2 linked regions of the Alligator mississippiensis genome follow. The protein of the gene in region 1 interacts with the protein of each later gene in a biochemical or structural test. Links are inferred from orthologs where the notes say so. Each region holds a gene or a part of one and is shown in the gene's direction. Other genes may lie near its edges.

Evidence for each region.
Region 2: the proteins of TXNIP (region 1) and SLC2A1 form a complex in vitro, tested with the Homo sapiens proteins (2 studies listed by BioGRID). The link is inferred for Alligator mississippiensis from reciprocal best matches to the Homo sapiens genes TXNIP and SLC2A1.

The regions. Positions count from the first base shown.
Region 1 is NC_081838.1:17,945,263-17,953,791, reverse strand, and holds the start of TXNIP (thioredoxin-interacting protein), read left to right. Parts: upstream 1-5,232; 5' UTR 5,233-5,556; coding exon 5,557-5,806; intron 5,807-6,886; coding exon 6,887-6,959; intron 6,960-7,063; coding exon 7,064-7,211; intron 7,212-7,600; coding exon 7,601-7,703; intron 7,704-7,984; coding exon 7,985-8,241; intron 8,242-8,529. UniProt on the Homo sapiens protein: May act as an oxidative stress mediator by inhibiting thioredoxin activity or by limiting its bioavailability.
Region 2 is NC_081836.1:1,295,135-1,303,038, forward strand, and holds the start of SLC2A1 (solute carrier family 2, facilitated glucose transporter member 1), read left to right. Parts: upstream 1-4,426; 5' UTR 4,427-4,532; coding exon 4,533-4,550; intron 4,551-7,904. UniProt on the Homo sapiens protein: Facilitative glucose transporter, which is responsible for constitutive or basal glucose uptake. Has a very broad substrate specificity; can transport a wide range of aldoses including both pentoses and hexoses.

The DNA.
Region 1 (8,529 bases):
ATCCAACCTAAACTTCCCTTGCTGTAACTGGAGCCCATTGCTCCTTGTTGACCTCTGCCACCACTGGGAACAGTCCAGCTCCATCCTCTTTGGATCCACCCTGTAGGGAGTTAAAGGCTGCTTCCAAATCCCCCCTCAGCCTTTTTTTCTGCAAACTAAATAAGCCCATTTCCCTCAGCTTCTCCTCACCAGTCCTGTCCCCCAGCCTCACAACCATTTTCATTGCCCTTCGCTGGACTCTCTGTCCACCTTGTCCACATCCAATTTTCAGCAGCTACCAAACTGCTGAATTCAAAATAGTGACCTAAGGGACACTGCCTCGTTCCCAGTTCCCCGAGCCCTACAATTTTCATGAAGCTTTTTAAATTGAGTCCTAGCTTGGAGTTTGGAGCAATCGCACCCTTAGTCTAGAAATCTTCTCTGACTGTTCTCAGCCTGCACAGCTGTGACGTGCTACTAGAGGCTTGGTGAGCAGGGGCAGGACCTGCAGCTGTAGCTGTGAGTGGTCACTAGAGGGCTGGTGATCCAGGACAGGATTCGGTCCCTGCCCTAGGGACAGGAGTGGGAGATATCCTGGGATCCTGGAGGACTTTTAGGGGCTGGCCACATCGCAATGGAACGGGAGCTGGGTAGTGCAGTTGAGAGAGACCCCTGTCCTAGAGTGGTGTAACTTTAACCCACATAACAAGTACTTAAAACCATTTAAGAAACGCCAAACTCTAAAATTCTTGATTCAGAGATGATACCTTTTATTAGACCAACTAAGAAATCGCAAAAAAAAAGTTATCTTTATAATTTTTTTGCAGGGTTTTTTTTTTTTTGTGATTTCTTAGTTGGTCTAATAAAAGGTATCATCTCTGCACCAAGAGTTTTAGAGCTTTGCATTTCTTTTGGCTCAGACCCGCACAACTACCAAATATATCCCTAAAAACTTTTAAGGTGTTAATGTGCACACAGTCCAGGGGTTAAGAGCTCTAAGAGCTACCCCAAGTTACCATGCAACAAGGCTCTTACAATGAGAAATGTCTCATTTCTGTTCATAGGCAGACAAGGTTCCTTGGGTGAATTTGATATCTTTTATTAGACCAACCCAAATGGTTGGAGAATAGTTATTAAGCAAGCTTTCGGGTTCAGAAACCCTTCGTCAGGCTAAGGAAGCTTCAGCAGTTGGTGTGTGCTCTTCCTGTTCAGGAAGGCGAAGCAGAATATGTCTATCTCTGCTATATTTTGAGCCCAGGCAGTCATTGCTCCTAATACCCCATTGCTGGAGAAGAATGGGGCTCTGGGCTGGGCTCTGAATCATCCCAGGGTTTGTGTGATGATGAGGAAAGACAGCCAGGGTCAGTGATGAATAGAAAAGAGATGTCCCTGCAGGAACCAGCTTCCTTTAGGCACTTATCATGTAGTGGTGACAAGAAACAAGCAATGCCACGCATGTGGGGCTTGCAAAACTCAGCTCCCTGCTCATGCTGTGAAAATGTATGTCTTCTGTGCTTCTTTTACTCTCTTACTCCCAGTCCTGTCAGAGGAAGTGGTTTTTTCAGTATTCCTTCTCAACCCCGCCCTGTGCATGACAGTCGAGTTTTGTTCTTGGGCCATTGTGAGTGGCTTGTTAGTCCCCTTCCTGACCTTCCTGGAGGAAACCTTATATGGCTAAAATATATCTCATGGAAACATCATCATCAAAACTCCTTGGAGTTCTGCGCATGGTAACAGCCACTTGCAACCAAGTCACAGGCTGCTTCTAGCAACAGTCAAAGACGGGAGCCACACCATCTGCAGTGAAACAAAGGACACACTGGGTGCATCTACACATGCATTTACTGCGCAGTAATTTACCGCACAGTAAATTACTCCACAGTAAGTGGTTTTTAGGCCAGCGTCTACACACGCAGGCATTACAGAGCAGTAATGCTGTGTGTGGACTGACTTGGGCCTAAAGTTAGTCCCAAGTCCATCTACACACGCAGTGTTAATGCATAGTAAGGCATCTACACATGCCTTACTGTGCAGTAACTAATCGGGCATAAATTTGCTACCTGTATCATGCAGGTAGCAAATTTACACCCGAGTAAGCGTAAGTCACTATAGTTGCTGCGCAGTATAGATGTGCACCTGTACTGTGCAGTGATTTTGGTTACCTAATTACTGTACAGTAATTGTGCACCTGTAGACATGCCCACTGAAGAGACATGCCACTGATTTCTGCCTGTGACACGGACAATAGCTTTTTCTGACTGTGATCAATGTCAAGGTTTTTAGACCAGGTAATAAAGATTTCATGAGTAATCTTGTGCATCCAATCTTGATTATAGTAAGGACTCAGAGCAGCAAGGAGCAGAAAGCAGCTCCAGAGGACCAGGAATAGTATGTGGTTTTGAAATGTGCTTTCAGTGGCTCTATCCCTACTGTGTTTGAGCTGCATTAGCTGATTTGAACCGTGTTCAAAATCAGCTTAGTTAGCAAAGCACAGAGCAGACAGAGCCGTAAAGCACTGTCCAACAGAGGTGTTACCGTAGTCGGGCAGTTTATTGGCACTGATCTCCCTTCAGTGATTTCACTAGGCTTCTGTCTGGCATCTTCTCTTTGGAAATGATGTGATAAACTAACGACTGTATTTTACAAGCCAAAATAGCTTGGTAAAGAAGAAAATGCTAGACTTCCCAAACTATATAGGCCACCTTGAACCTTTGTTATCTGAGAAGCTCTAATATACTGTCCATAATGGAAAACTTTTGAATACAGAGTCCCATCCTGAGATGCTCCCCTACCCGTGTGATAGTGAGGCATCTTCAGTCAGATTAGGGTCAGGGGAGCTAAAGGTCAAAAACAGGTTGGCAGAAAAGCAAGGCTGGACAGGATTCAGTTTTGGGAACGTGCCTTGGATCGCCGCACTGGCTGGCTGCCTGGCCCAGAGTTAAAATGTCCTTTGACATCTGTGGTATGTGCAGTGTCGCAGTCTGAGAGAAAGCAGCAACACACTGCAGTTTTGCAAGGGCCTGACTGTACTGCCAAAAAGCAGTACGTCGTTGGGCCGACACCTGCACTAAAGGGAGCCAAAGAAGCTGGATTTAATGCACTTAAAGGAATGCAGCGTATTCTGATAAGGAACATGGCATTTTATCCAGACCAACAGTCCATCTAATCCCTTATCCTACAGCCTGCCGCTATCCAGCCTATTGGCTATTTATCTCCATATTCCACCACCTGCCAAATTAGATCAGGTCTATGGCCCCCATAGCTCAATATCCCTCTTCTTATCGTACTGATGCAGAGCCCTAGTATGCTTGGCTGACACTAGAGGTTTCAGGAAAAGGTGCAGTCCTTCCTCTATTGGTCGACTGTAATCGCACAGTGCTCTGTCATCAAGAGGAAATTCCTTCTTTAAAAGAGCAGGTGATCAGTTTATGCCCTAACACATGAAGATGGCCAGGGGTGGATACATACACCGAATTGCAGCGTAAGGCAGAAGACAGAAATGCCAGCTTCATTACTGCAATGCACAGACACAGGGGGCAAAAGGCAGCAAAACAGCATAACTATCCTGGTGACTTACGCTACTTCTCCTAGGGAAGGGGCACAAGTTTAGATGCAAAAGGAAGTTTCTTGATTTCCCCTAATCCTGCTCCTAAAATGTGCGTTTTGCTACTTACAACCCATTTTTAACATGGCTTTTTGTGTGAACTCAGTTACTGCGAGAAGAAAACCGCTTTTCAAACTATCCCAAAACGGGCCACAGCGGTTTAGAAACGGGGTGAAAGCCTGGCAAAACCCTGAGAGGTGCTGCGTAGGCAGAACGACATGAGCCCTACATTCGCTCCTTCCCTAAAGGCGGGGGGGAGGTTTTTATTTTGTGCCGAATGTCGCATGAAGCACGTTCTTCAGGGAGCTGGGACCTGATCGGGCAAAAAGCCCATTTCCCAAGGATTCGCCCAGCCCGAGAGCTAAACATCGTGCTCCTAACAAATAAGCAATTGTCTCCTGTTTTTCACATCGCTGCCTTTGATTTCCTGCGCAGCAAGCAGTCACCCTCGTACGGCGCGTGGCAACATGGTGTAACACAAGCAAAGGGCTGGGGGGGAGGGGGGGGACTTGTGCAAATCTCAGATAGTCCCAACGTGATTAAAGGAGAAATGGGGTTTTTTGGAGGGGAAGTCTAGCGATGCCCCTTTTTGCAATCAATGCGGGTGTCCAGGGTGGTATCTTTTGGAGCATGGGGGAGGATTTGGAGTTCAATTGAAGAGTTACAGAGGATTGACCCCCCCCAAATCCAGTCATGGTGTGCGGTATAGATTTGGGGGGACTGACTACCCAGCCCCAGCACTGTGTGAGGGGAGGCCGGGGGGGCAATATGTGTGTGGGGGGATATTATGGGGGGCTATGGGCTGCCATGTAGCATTTGAAGGGAGACGCTGGAGGCCTCAAATGGTGCCTAAACCGCGTGAGGAGCAGAGGGAAAGAGGACCTGCCTTCCCACAGCCACGGTGGAGATAGTGGGGGGCTTCAGACAGCCGGCACAGCGCGTGTAAGGGGGTGGGCCGCCCTCCCGCGCTGGGTGGAAGGGATGGCGCTGAGGGGCTGTCAAACCACCCCTATCGGGGACCCTGCGCCGAGGGGGCTGAGCTATTGGCCTGCATGGAGCCATTGAAGGGAATGGGGGGCTGCGTATTGCACCCCCATAGCAGCTCTGAGGGGCAGGGGGTCTGTACTGCTCCCCCATAGCAGCTATAAGGGAGGGGGGGTGTACTGCTCCCCCCACAGCAGCTGTGAGGGGGAAGGACACGTGATTTTGGGCTGCCTCTATTATCAGTACAGGATTTGGGGGGTCGGGGCTGGGAGCAGCCACCCCCACAGGGGAACCCCTGGCAAGGAACCCCCCCCGTGACGTGACACTCCCGAGTCACAGAAGAAAAGAAAAAAAAAAAAAATCCCCTCACAGCCCAGGAGCCTGATTGGCTCCGAGAGCCTCTCAGCTTCGCCTCTCATTGGCCTCCCGCTGCGTCACTCCGCGCATCACCCCACCCCCTTCAGAACCCTGCATCTCTTCACACACTGTCCACGCTCCGCGGCCGGCGCGCCGATTGGCCGGCGAGCACGTAAACAAGGCAGCGGCAGCCAATGGGAGCGCTGATCACGCGAGCAGCACGCTTCCACGCGCCCTCAGCGTGGCATGGAGGTGATCAACAACCGAAGTGCGGGGAGGCTGAGAGTATAAAAGCGCCGCATCCGGCGCGTCTTGGCGCAAAGCCTGGCAGGCTCCGAGCAGAGCGGAGCTCCTTGCTGCTGAGCTGCGGCCAGAATACCACAGACGGCATCTCTGCTCCCTTCCCTCGGATTCCAGCGCCCAGGCCAAAAACTAAAAAGGGGCTTAATTTTTCAGCCAGCAATCTAAAAAAAAAATAGCTTTTTTCTTTTTTTCTGCACGATTTTTGATACCATTCAATTCCAAGCCCCAGGCTTTTGGGGTTTTTTCCCTTGTATTTTGGCCATTCCAGTTGAGCCTTAGCCCCCTTCCTCTCCTAGTCCCGTCTAAACCAAGCCAACTTTCCTGCCACCATGGTGATGTTCAAGAAGATCAAGACTTTCGAGCTGGTTTTCAGCGAGCCCGGCAAGGTCTACTTCAGCGGGGAGAAAGTGGCCGGCCGTGTGCTGGTGGAAGTGACCGACGTCACCCGAGTCACAGCCATGAAGGTGTTGGCCTGTGGCGTGGCCAAGGTCAACTGGGCCAAGGGCCCCCACCACTGCAAGCAGGAGATGGAGTACCTCCGCTACGAGGACGTCCTGACCCTGGATGACAAACCCACTGGTGAGAACCCGAGACCTAAATAATACGACCTAAATTGTAGGGCTCTTCTGCCCCCAAAAAAGCCTCTTTTTTGCCCAAAAATGCTTTTAAAGCAGGGTTAGATCAAAAATGAAAGGTTGGATTGAGTAATATTGGAGGTGCTGGGGTGTTTTAACACAATAGGATACTTGGCAGCCAAGTAGGGCTTTATCTGTGGTTGTTTTTGGCACTTGGCTCTGCTAGCGGCTCTTTTTTTTACTCCAGTATTTTGAGGTTTTGTGGTTATGTCCTGGCAAAAAGGTCCTAGAAGTATCTTAATGATTCATTTGGACCTGGATAAACTAGCAGAGAGCCTTAGTTGGTCTGCTGTAGGAAGCGTGTCTAAAGTTTGAGACAGAGGAGTAACAAAACTCGGGGGGTGTAGTGACAATTGGGAGATTGCAGCCGGCAGCGAAGACCTTAAAGAGGTTGATGCGGCAGGAGTAGCATCCCCAAAGGATGGGAGCGAATGTTATTGGCAGGGTAGCTGTATTGTGAACAAGCTTCCTGAGCTGCATGGAGAGGCGAAGTAATTACAGTGTGCGAGTACAGTATGCAGGACAGGTGTTACAGCTGGGGAGCCGCTCCTCTCTTGGCACAGGGAGTGATGGGCGCTGTGATTTCCTGGCTCTCTGGCACAGGGAGTTACTCCCGCCCCCGAGGCAGGTTGGAAGAAGGCACAGCTTCCCCGCTTGGCAGGGTTGTGTGTAAAAGAGTGACAGGCAAGACCAGGGATGATGTGAAATGCCTTGGATAGTTTTCCAACTTCTTTATTGGCCCAGATAGAGATTTGCAGTGGATTATTTGGTGGGAGGGAGGATGTAGAGGCCAGCTCTGAGTCCTTACTTAAGAGGATGATTAAGAAGCACGAAAAGATTGCAATGGCAATATAGCAGAAGTTTTTCAGAACGTTTCTAAGTAACAGCATAGATTATACCCAGCACAGCAAACTTTGGCACTTGTGTTGTTTCTGCTGAGACAGGATGTTGTGACAAAGCTGAGAACATGCAGCAAGACTTGAGGTTTTTAACTTCCTCTCTCTTTTTTTTTCCCCCATTGCAGATGAGGATGGCTCTGTGATCTTGAGACCTGGGAACAAATACGAATACAAGTTTGGATTTGAGCTTCCTCAAGGGTAGGTATTGATCAAACACGGCATCAGAAATGCTAGCCTTGTGACAAAATTCCCTCGGTTGTTATTTGTGCGTGTGTTTTTAATGAGCTCCTCTTGTATTGCAGACCCCTTGGTACTACCTTCAAAGGGAAGTACGGCTGTGTAGATTACTGGGTGAAGGCTTTCTTGGAGCGCCCATCAGTCCCACCTCAGGAGACAAAGAAGCATTTTGAGGTCCAGGACCCTGTTGACATCAACACTCCAGATCTACTGGTAATTGTTATATTCTTGGGTGTTGTTGGGGCAATGGTGGGGCTGTTTGCTAGAGGTGGTTCAGAGGGATATTTGCTATGTATGTAAATTTTACAGTTCCAGGGCAGATTAAGTATTGTCTCCTAAGGAGATGAGTGCTCCATATTGCTCAAAGCCCTAATGGAAGTCTAGGTTAGTTGTTTGAGATGGGTTACCTTTCTCTTGAGCTATGTACATCAGTGAGTGTCCATGAAACAGGACACTGGAATCTACCTGGAGATGCAAATTAAACCGCATGGAATACAAAATGTTATGGCAGCAGTCTGGCAGGATATGGACAGGATAGAATAGGGCGCACACAACAGGCTGTCTTCATTTGTTGTAACCAAATCCCTCTGAATCTTTTCCAGTCTCCCGTCTCTGCCAAGAAGGAGAAGAAGGTGTCCTGCATGTTCTTTCCTGATGGCCATGTGTCTGTCAGTGCCAGGATTGACAGGAAGGGGTTCTGCGAAGGTGAGCCTGGCTTCCCAGGAGGACTGGGAGATGAGGGGGCTGAATGGGACAGTGCTTGAAAAGAGCATTGCTCTGAGCAAGAGGGGAGGAGAAGGGCATGACATTGAACCATGTGATACTACTGAGCAAGGGAAGTGGGCTGTGAATCAGAGAAACTTCCCAATTAGATTGGGCTTCTCTGCTTTAACCAGTGTAGACTTCGCCATGAATAAGCTGTAAGAGAATCATCTCCACCGTGGGTAAGACCTTCCCTGTAACTAAACAATCCTGTCTTCTTTCAGGGGATGAAATCTGCATCAATGCAGACTTTGAGAACACATGCTCCCGCATCGTGGTACCCAAGGCAGCCATCGTTTCCAAGCACACCTACCTAGCAAATGGCGAGACCAAAGTTTTCGTTCAGAAACTCTCCTGTGTGCGTGGCAACCACATCATCTCGGGCATGTCTGACACCTGGCGGGGCAAAACAATCCGTGTCAGGAAGATCAAACCCTCTATCCTGGGCTGCAACATCTTGCGCGTGGAGTACTTCCTGCAGGTAAGGGTCGTGGGTACTGAAGGATCTCTCTTCCACACCAGGCCCATCATCGGGGAACATAGCATGTGCAGTTGTCCTGCCAGGGACCCCTCTCCTCCCTTAGATTTGCTCTTTGGAGTTTCTTTCAGGGCTTTGATACCTGCAGTGGTCTCACAAGCCAGTGGAATAGACATGGCATTGCACTAAATTTACAGTTTAGCCATGTCACTCCCTTTCCATTAGGAATCTTATACAGGCTTTAATGCAACAGAGGAAGGGTGATGTCATTCCTAACCATCTCTTCATCTC
Region 2 (7,904 bases), on another chromosome or scaffold:
AGTAAACTAGGAGCTGCATTTGGCTACGATACTCCTGCTGCAGCCTTCTTCCTCTGGGCACTGATGCCTTTTCATTACAAAGCTGAACCAGTCGGCGCTGTCCGTGAGGTCTGTGTGTCTGTGTTACAGAAATGGCCGCTCTCAAGACCATCCATCCACTGTCAGGGCTTCTGGGGTGAACTTCATTTCCATCGATAAGTGATGAAGAGGTTTGCTGGCTGTCGTTCAAAAACTTTCAGCTGGATGGATGCCACAGCTGGAGAGACATACACTTTAACTGGTAGGGAGTCACTGACAGACTCTGGCCCTATGTAGCTGTCAGTTAGCCCTCATCTTTCCCCATGCAATGGATCATCTCAGCCCATCTTCACTGTACCATTGACCCCAGCTGTTGCCCAGTTTTAGTGCAAATCTGCCTCCCCCGATACCCACACACAAGAACTTCTGACCTTGGTGTGGAACTGCTTTAAGCCGTGGCTAGCTTACCTAGCTGGGAGCAAAAGTTAGAAACTGGGCAGTGCTTTAGCTTGAGCTGGGACCAGTTCACCTTGTAGAGAAGGCTCCAGCTAAATCACTTGGCTGCTGGTAACTTCCCCACAGCTTTCCACAGGTCTCCACGCAGGACGGGCAAGGGAGATTGAGAGGAGATGCAATGGCATGGCCAAACTCTCTCAGTGCCAGTGAAACACTAAGATTATCATTTACATAAAAGTTTTCACAACGTTTTGTATCTCTTTGTATTTCAAAACATTTTTACAGGCAAGGGGTGTGAGCAGAGGTACTTCTCGCTGAGGGGAATGGGACATGGAAGCTGTAAGTGCAGCAGCCAGGGATTTGACAAAGTCCGTTTGCAACACAATAGCAAACAGACAAAGGGACTTCCTGGTAGGTTAGTAGATAATTGCTGAGAAATCCTAACTGTCAGTCACGTGACCAGGCCTTTATTGGCCTTGGCATGTCCATATTGGACTGCCGTGCACACCCCAGGCTTACCTCTTGCTCACAAGACTGAGCCCAGATGCTTGGATAGAAAGTAATAATTCATCCTTTTATGTTTGCATTACATTTGCATCAGCTAAATAATTTCCTTAGCATGACTAATTAGGCTGTGTGCAAGAGGTGAGCATGCCTACCAGCTGACAAAAGTGTCATGGTTTGGTGGGTCCTGTCCGGGTTGTTTCTTTGGAAGGAGGTAATAAAAAACTTAGCTGAGTGATAATGTGCTAAATAAGGTGCGGTTGAAGGAAGTGGGATGGGTCAGGGGACGTGGATGGCAGAACTTGGCCTTTCACTTCTAGGCAAATGATGCACAAATGCTCATTGGTTGGAGACTATGTTTTGAAAGCTGCTAGGTTACGTGTGTAAAATGAACTGGCAGCACAAGCCTGTTGCATCAGGCCATAAGCCAGACTTTACCTGGAAGCATTGGCTAACGCCACCCACATGCAGCAAGGTACTCAAGCACATGCTTGTTTTGCTGGATCCAGATCAGGTCTCTTAACTACAGCACCTTACTAGGCATCTATTTCACAGAAACCATCCTGCTGCCAGTCTCAGCAGCAGGGCCAAATGAACCAACCCTGGAAACCCCGACGAGCCCCTTCAGTGGAGAACACGGGCGTTCCCCCCGCTCTGCGACAAGCACGACCAGGAGGGGCAGACGGCGGTTTGCCGAAGGGAGCCCTGCAGCTCTCCAAGATTACTTACGTACCGACTGTCACGGAGACAATCAGATGACTTCTCTGCACACCGGTACTGATTTGGTTAGAATCACATGGATTCTAAGTCCATTACGACTGGCGTGTCTACCCACCAACTCAAAAGGATTTGACTAGCAAAATACCCCTTAAATCTCCCTGGAAGCCCTCAGGGACCAACCTTACTCAGCATAAATGCAGATTATTGCCTCTGTATTTACAAGCCACTACAGTTCTCCCTCCATCAGCACTTGCCCATTGTGGTAGCTGGTCAGGAATTTCTCAACAATACAGGTTCTTTTTTTAGTAGAAAATGCCGATTGATCAAATCCCAAACTATTCACAGGCTAGGACAGGTTGTGATACATTTCTAATTTAGAAAAACTTTTGGAGGGGGGAAAAACTGAAAAAATGTCAAATTTTGACATTGTGCAAATGACAAATCCTAGTTCTGATTTGCACCACCTTTTTTTAAGATAATGTAATTAATTTATAGAAAAAATGTAAATCAAGACAGACAAATCAAAACTCTCAATGTAAGGTATTGACATTATTGGAGCAGAACAGTTTGTTTGCCCAATCTGATTTTTCCCCCCCAGATATTTGATGGATACAGTTTGTTGAGGTTTTTGAAGTCCAGGACAGGAAGAATTTTCAAAAGGGTCTTTTCTCCCCTACTATCTCCCTTTAAAGAGAAGAACGGCAGGGTGTTTGAAGGGAACAAAGAGTTAGTCATTGCTTAGTACAACTAGGAGTCCTTCCCTATTCACGCCCTCCCCTGGCCTCACCTTTTGTGGCACTGCGAGAGGCAGGCAAGGCTGTATTGCTGACGGGAGAAGGGAACGTGCGCTCGGTCACATACGCAGGGAGAGACGCCCCCTCCCCTCCGCTCCGCTCCCCTCTCCTCCCCTCCTCTCCCACCTCCTGGCATTTCCCAAAGTTGTATTGTCTCTAGATTTGGGAATCATCTGAATCCAGATGCCCAGTTTTAAAAGTCTGAGAATGGAAAAATTATTAATCTTGTCTAATCAAAGCAGAAAGCAAGTGCTCCAGGGGCCTGTGCAGCATGCTCCCCTTGCAGACGGGGGTTTTGCTTAGTACCGGGGGAAAGGAAGGGGCCCCAGTGTCCAGCGTGGAGCATGGAAGTGATCCAGGGGAACCGATGCTGGGGGGATCTTTCCTCAGAGAGGAAGGAAAGGTACAAAATGCTGTAGCGCGCCAGGGTCCAGATGGAGATGTGAGAATTAAAAATATGCACAAAGTTGACGTGTGTTTGTCTCATGCTTCAGGCCCTCGGGCTGCCTCCGACAGGAATTACCTTTAATCCGTTAAGTTGCTAATTACACACCATGGTGTTTTTTGACTCTTGATCTGAAACAGGCGTTGCTGGCCAATGTCAGAGCCAGGATCTGGCCACGAGCGGGAGATCCTGTGCTGTCAGGATGACTTTTGTCGGCAGTCAGGATGATGGTGCAGATTCCCACGCGGGGTGTTGTGCCTTACATAAAAGCGTGTAAAGCACCCGTAGGTCGCTGCCACGCTGTGCGACGTCCCCGAGTTTACCAAACCAAGTTGTGTAAGCGACTCACGGCGCTCAAACATTTCCAAGAGCTCCAGCCACAGGAAATTAAACTGCAGGTCCTTGCGCGGCACATTCCCAGGCACGCTCAGGGCTGAATCTGTAGCAGATTTCCCAACGCCAATCAAACCTACATGCCAAGAGCTCGGCTGCGCTCCCCCCACCCCATACATCAGCATTCACCTCCTTCCCCGCAAGATTTGTTTCTGCTCAGCGATGGCGAGAAACGTTGGGTGCCGTCTTGGCGGAGTGGGGAAGGGTGCTGCCGCTTGAGGGGAGCAGGGCAGGGAAAGCAAGTCTCGCTGTTTGCAAGCCAGGCCGGCCTCGCTGCCACCTGAGCGGGGCGTGCGCCCGCCCCACGCCCGGCCACGCCAGGGCGAGGCGAGGCTGCGGCCTAGCGCCGGGCAAAGCGGGGAGCTCCCGTGTCCGGACCCATCGCTGGGAGCCACCGGCACAACCGACCCCGCCAGGGCCCCGCGGCCCGGGGAGACGGGCAGTGCCGGAGCGGGCGCTGCCGTCCTCGTGCCCTCGCACCCGCGCTGTTTTGGGCGGTGTGGGGAGAGTGAAGCCGGGCGAGGCGAGGCGAGGCGAGGCGGGCGGGCGAGGTGGGCCGGGGGCCTGCTGCGGGGAAAGGCCCCGCGGTCCCTGCACACCCCCTGCCCCCCGGCAGCAAAGGACTCGGCACCGGACGGAGCGAGCGGCTGTGGGGCAGGGGCAGGCCCCTGGGCTGGGAGCCCCTCTGCGCCCGCCCGCAGGAGACCGGGCCGGGGCGCGCGGCATGGCGTGGCGCGCTGCGCTGCACGAGGAAACACATCGGACCCCGACACGGGGCACACGCACACATGTACCCACACACGTGTTCTTTTATTTCTGTGTGTGTCTACACACACACACACACACACACACACACACACACACACACACACACAGTGACACATTCGCAGGCACACGCGCAGGCCCACGCGCATGCGCACGCTCTCTTTCATGCCCTCTCTCCCCCTTCTCCCGCGCGCGGCAGGCGGCGGCGGGGGGGGGCGGGCGCGCGGCGGTGACGGGCGGCGGGCGCAGCCAACCAGGGCGCGCTCCGCGCCGGCTGTCCGCACACCCCCGCCACACCCCCGCGCCGCCAGCCAATGGGCGCGCGCCGCCCGGCCGCGCACTTAAGCGGGTCGTGGCGGGCCGGGCAGCGGCGGCAGCAGTAGGAGCGGCGCGGTCCCGGTCCTCGTCTCGGTCCCGGTCTCGGTCCCTGCGGCGCGATGGAGTCGGGCAGCAAGGTGAGCCGCCGCGCGGCACCGCCCCGGCCCGGCCCGGCCCGGCGGGCTCCTGCACCCAGACTTGCCGGGAAGGCCCGTGCTCGGCCCCGGCGCCGGCGCCGCGTGTCGGGGGAGGCGGCGGACGGGACAGGCGGGGGCGTCGCTCCGTGGCCGGCGCTCCCGGGCGGGCCGCCGCGCTGGCCGGGGCCGGGCCCTGCGCCGCTCCCCCCGTCCCCTCCCCTCGCTCCGGCCGAGGAGCTCCGCCGAGCCCCGGATGGGCGCGGAGCAGGCGGCCCGCACGTGGCCCCGGCGGCGCCTGCAGGGAGCGGCGTCCTTCCCCCCCGGGGCCGAGCGGGGCAGGAGTCTGGAGCCGCCGCGGTCGCGGTCCCGGTCCCGGTCGCGGTCAGAGAGGAGGGGGAGGTTGGAGACAGTTGGAGAAACGCTGATGTTTCCGAATAAAAGAAGACCGGCCATTTCCTTAAGGAGCGGCCGCCTAAACCTTTCCACGTCCCGGCTCGCTTTTCCTTGGAAGGGAAGCGTTTAGAAAGCCAAACCCGCCCGCGCCACGTCTGCCGCCGTGGGCCGTGGCGACGTGTCCGTGGATGCGCCGGTGGGACCGCGCCCCGCGTGTCCCGTTGCAGCCCGCTCCGAGTGTCCGACCCCGTGGGAAAAGTAAAACCGGTGCCGTTCAGTAATGGGAAGGGATTGCTCTTTCTGGGTGTCTGACTGGAAGAAGGAAGGTGCTGTCTGTCTGTCTGTCTGTCGCAGCGCTGGGGCCAGAGGCTTTGGTTTGGTTTCTTGTAACTCGGGGCGGTCCGTCCCACCCCCCCCCCCCCGCCCGCCCGCCCGGCGGGGCAGCTGCGATACTTTCTGACACCGGTTCCGCATATCTCTCTTCTGCAAACAGAGCAGTCTTAAGGTGCCTTGAAATAGGCGTTCAGGACTAGTCGCTTTTAAAAACCTTGGCCAGGGATTCGGTGCGTAGTTTGCGCCTCTCCCCTTTTAAACTAAACTGCAACAGCAAGGGCACCTCTGCTCGGGGACGTGGGCATCATGTGGCTGATCCATATTTAACCTGGAGAGAGCGCAGTGGAAAGATCCTGGTGGTGTGCACGTATCGCTAGTGGAGCCGCGTGATAACTGGTGTGGTATCAGGCTGCCTAGCACACCTGCGAGTCGCTGCAGTCTCCTTCCGTGAGACCTCGCTATGCAAACAATCAGTGTGGCAATCCTACTGACGTCACGCTGTCCTGTCACAGCCGCCTGAAATCCTTCCTTGTTTCCTGGTCGCTCCAAATGTGGGAAGCGCGATGTTTTGTTAGAAACCCTTAGCCCCCGGGGTGGTGGGGACCGCTCGGGCCCAGCACCGAGCGGAGGAAAGCACCTCTCTCGGTAGCAGGAGCTGCCTCTCAGGCCCGTCGTGGGTGGGAGAGCGCTTTGTGCGCTACCAGCCTTCGAAAACTTACTGATCATTTTCTAACAATGCTGTTGTAGGAGGTTTTCAAACCTGGCTGCTTTTCGCATCCCCCGGGGCTATGCAGTGCAGTACTCGTACGATACAGTCCCGCGTGCCTGTCTGATGTGGTTGAATGACTTGGGCAGAGTAGCCTGGACATGGGAGATCACCCGCAGAAAGGTGCCCAGCCGCGTGGACGGGGGCAGGCCTCGAGTCCGGACCCCCTGGTCTTGTCACTCGCTTGCCCGTGACCCCAGGCAAGTTGTGGGAGACTTGAGCGCAAGTCACTTCTTCGTACCCGTGGGTGGATTTCTCTGGGGTTGTCTCAAAAGACAGATTTGCCACAATGTGCAATGAAAGCCTCGACTTTTTTTAAAGCAGAGTTCTTGTTTTCTGGCCACCCTAACGGAGGGGGGTTGGTTAATGCCTGTGGGCTCTGCTAGCAAAAGGTGTGAAGGATTTTGGGGTGAACATGGGCCAGCTCCCGCCACCTCCCCTTAAAACCGCTGAATCAGTGGGGAGGTGGATCAGGCCTGCGCCAGGGAAGGGGCTGGCAGCTGCCCGCATCTCCTGAGACCAGCAGATTTAGCCACACTTCTGCACATTCAGTTTTTCCAGGGACTGTCAGCACGTGATCTTGTAACAAGGTTTCCATAAGCGCATATAGAAAAATACAGTGATCTGCCTCTAGCCCCCTAAAGAGAGCTCGGCCTTCTTCGGCAAACAACATGCGCATCTGTCTGCCAAGCTGCAGCCACGTATTTATGGGCGCTCTCCCCCTGGCTGCTCAGGTGCCTGCTCTCCGGGCTAGCTAACGTACCCACGTGGGAAGTATTTGGGGCCATGATAGCGTCCATCCGAAACCCGGATTAAAGCCCAGGGGCACGGATCATACCAGCGATACTGGGGAGATCCTGCTCCGTGCTGTTCTTCGGGGACGTCAGTAGGAGCCAGCTGAACCCAACACTTCTACCTCTTCTCCCCCTCGTGTAAGTCCTGCCTGGACTGGTCTTTGCGTGGCCAGAAGCAGAGGGTCAGCGCAGTTTGTCCGTGTCCCGGCAAAAAGGGGCACCTGGGACTTGTGGGGCTGCTGTAGTAACACAGCCAACAACGTGGCACCACCTGCAGCTCCTCCAAGATGGAGTTTCCTGGGTAGTTGAAAGTAGCTGCAGTCACCGGCGCAGCCCGGTTCAGCGCCCGGGGCTTGCCACGGACTGGGCTCTCAGGTTACATCAGCTCAGTGCCCTTAAAGTGGCATGCCATCCCAGGCAGCCTCAGACTGGCACCCCACAGTGCGTGCACCCGGGCCAGGGGGGTGGCGTGTCGGCAGGCATGGGCCCTGGAGGCTCTGCGAGTGCTTGCCTAGCTGAGTGCCAGGTGGGAACCATGCCCTCCGAGTGTACGTGTGACGGAGAAAGGATGCACTGTGCGAGAGAGCAGGATGAGTGCGCGCCCGGCAACCTGTGCAGCACAGGATGCAGCTCTTTTAGGCGAGAGCTCGGCCGCTGGGTCAAAAAAAAGATGTGGGAGAGGGGAAGGGTGGAACAAATCAGCAGCTGAAACCTGCAGAGGAAACCACAACTACTGAGGCTGAAACAACTTTGCGCCCCTGTCCCACCCTGGCCCCAGGAAGTGCAAAGGTTGTCTGTGTGTCCTCTTTCTTCCTCTACTCAAATGCAGGGCTGGGTGCTCCTGGCAGTTCGAGGGAGCCTGTCTTGGGTGCTGCAGTTCTGCAAACGCCTGGGCCCAGTGACCTTCTTTTCACCCCCTTGCCACAGTCCCAGGGTAGCGTGAGGTGTTCGTCTCACTGGGGTTGGACTGCAGATATGGCGTGCTGGGGCGCTGTGATCACCTTGGCTTGAATGAGCTGCATCTGCCTCGGAGCCAGCAATCTGGTCCTCTTGATGCTGGGGCGACTT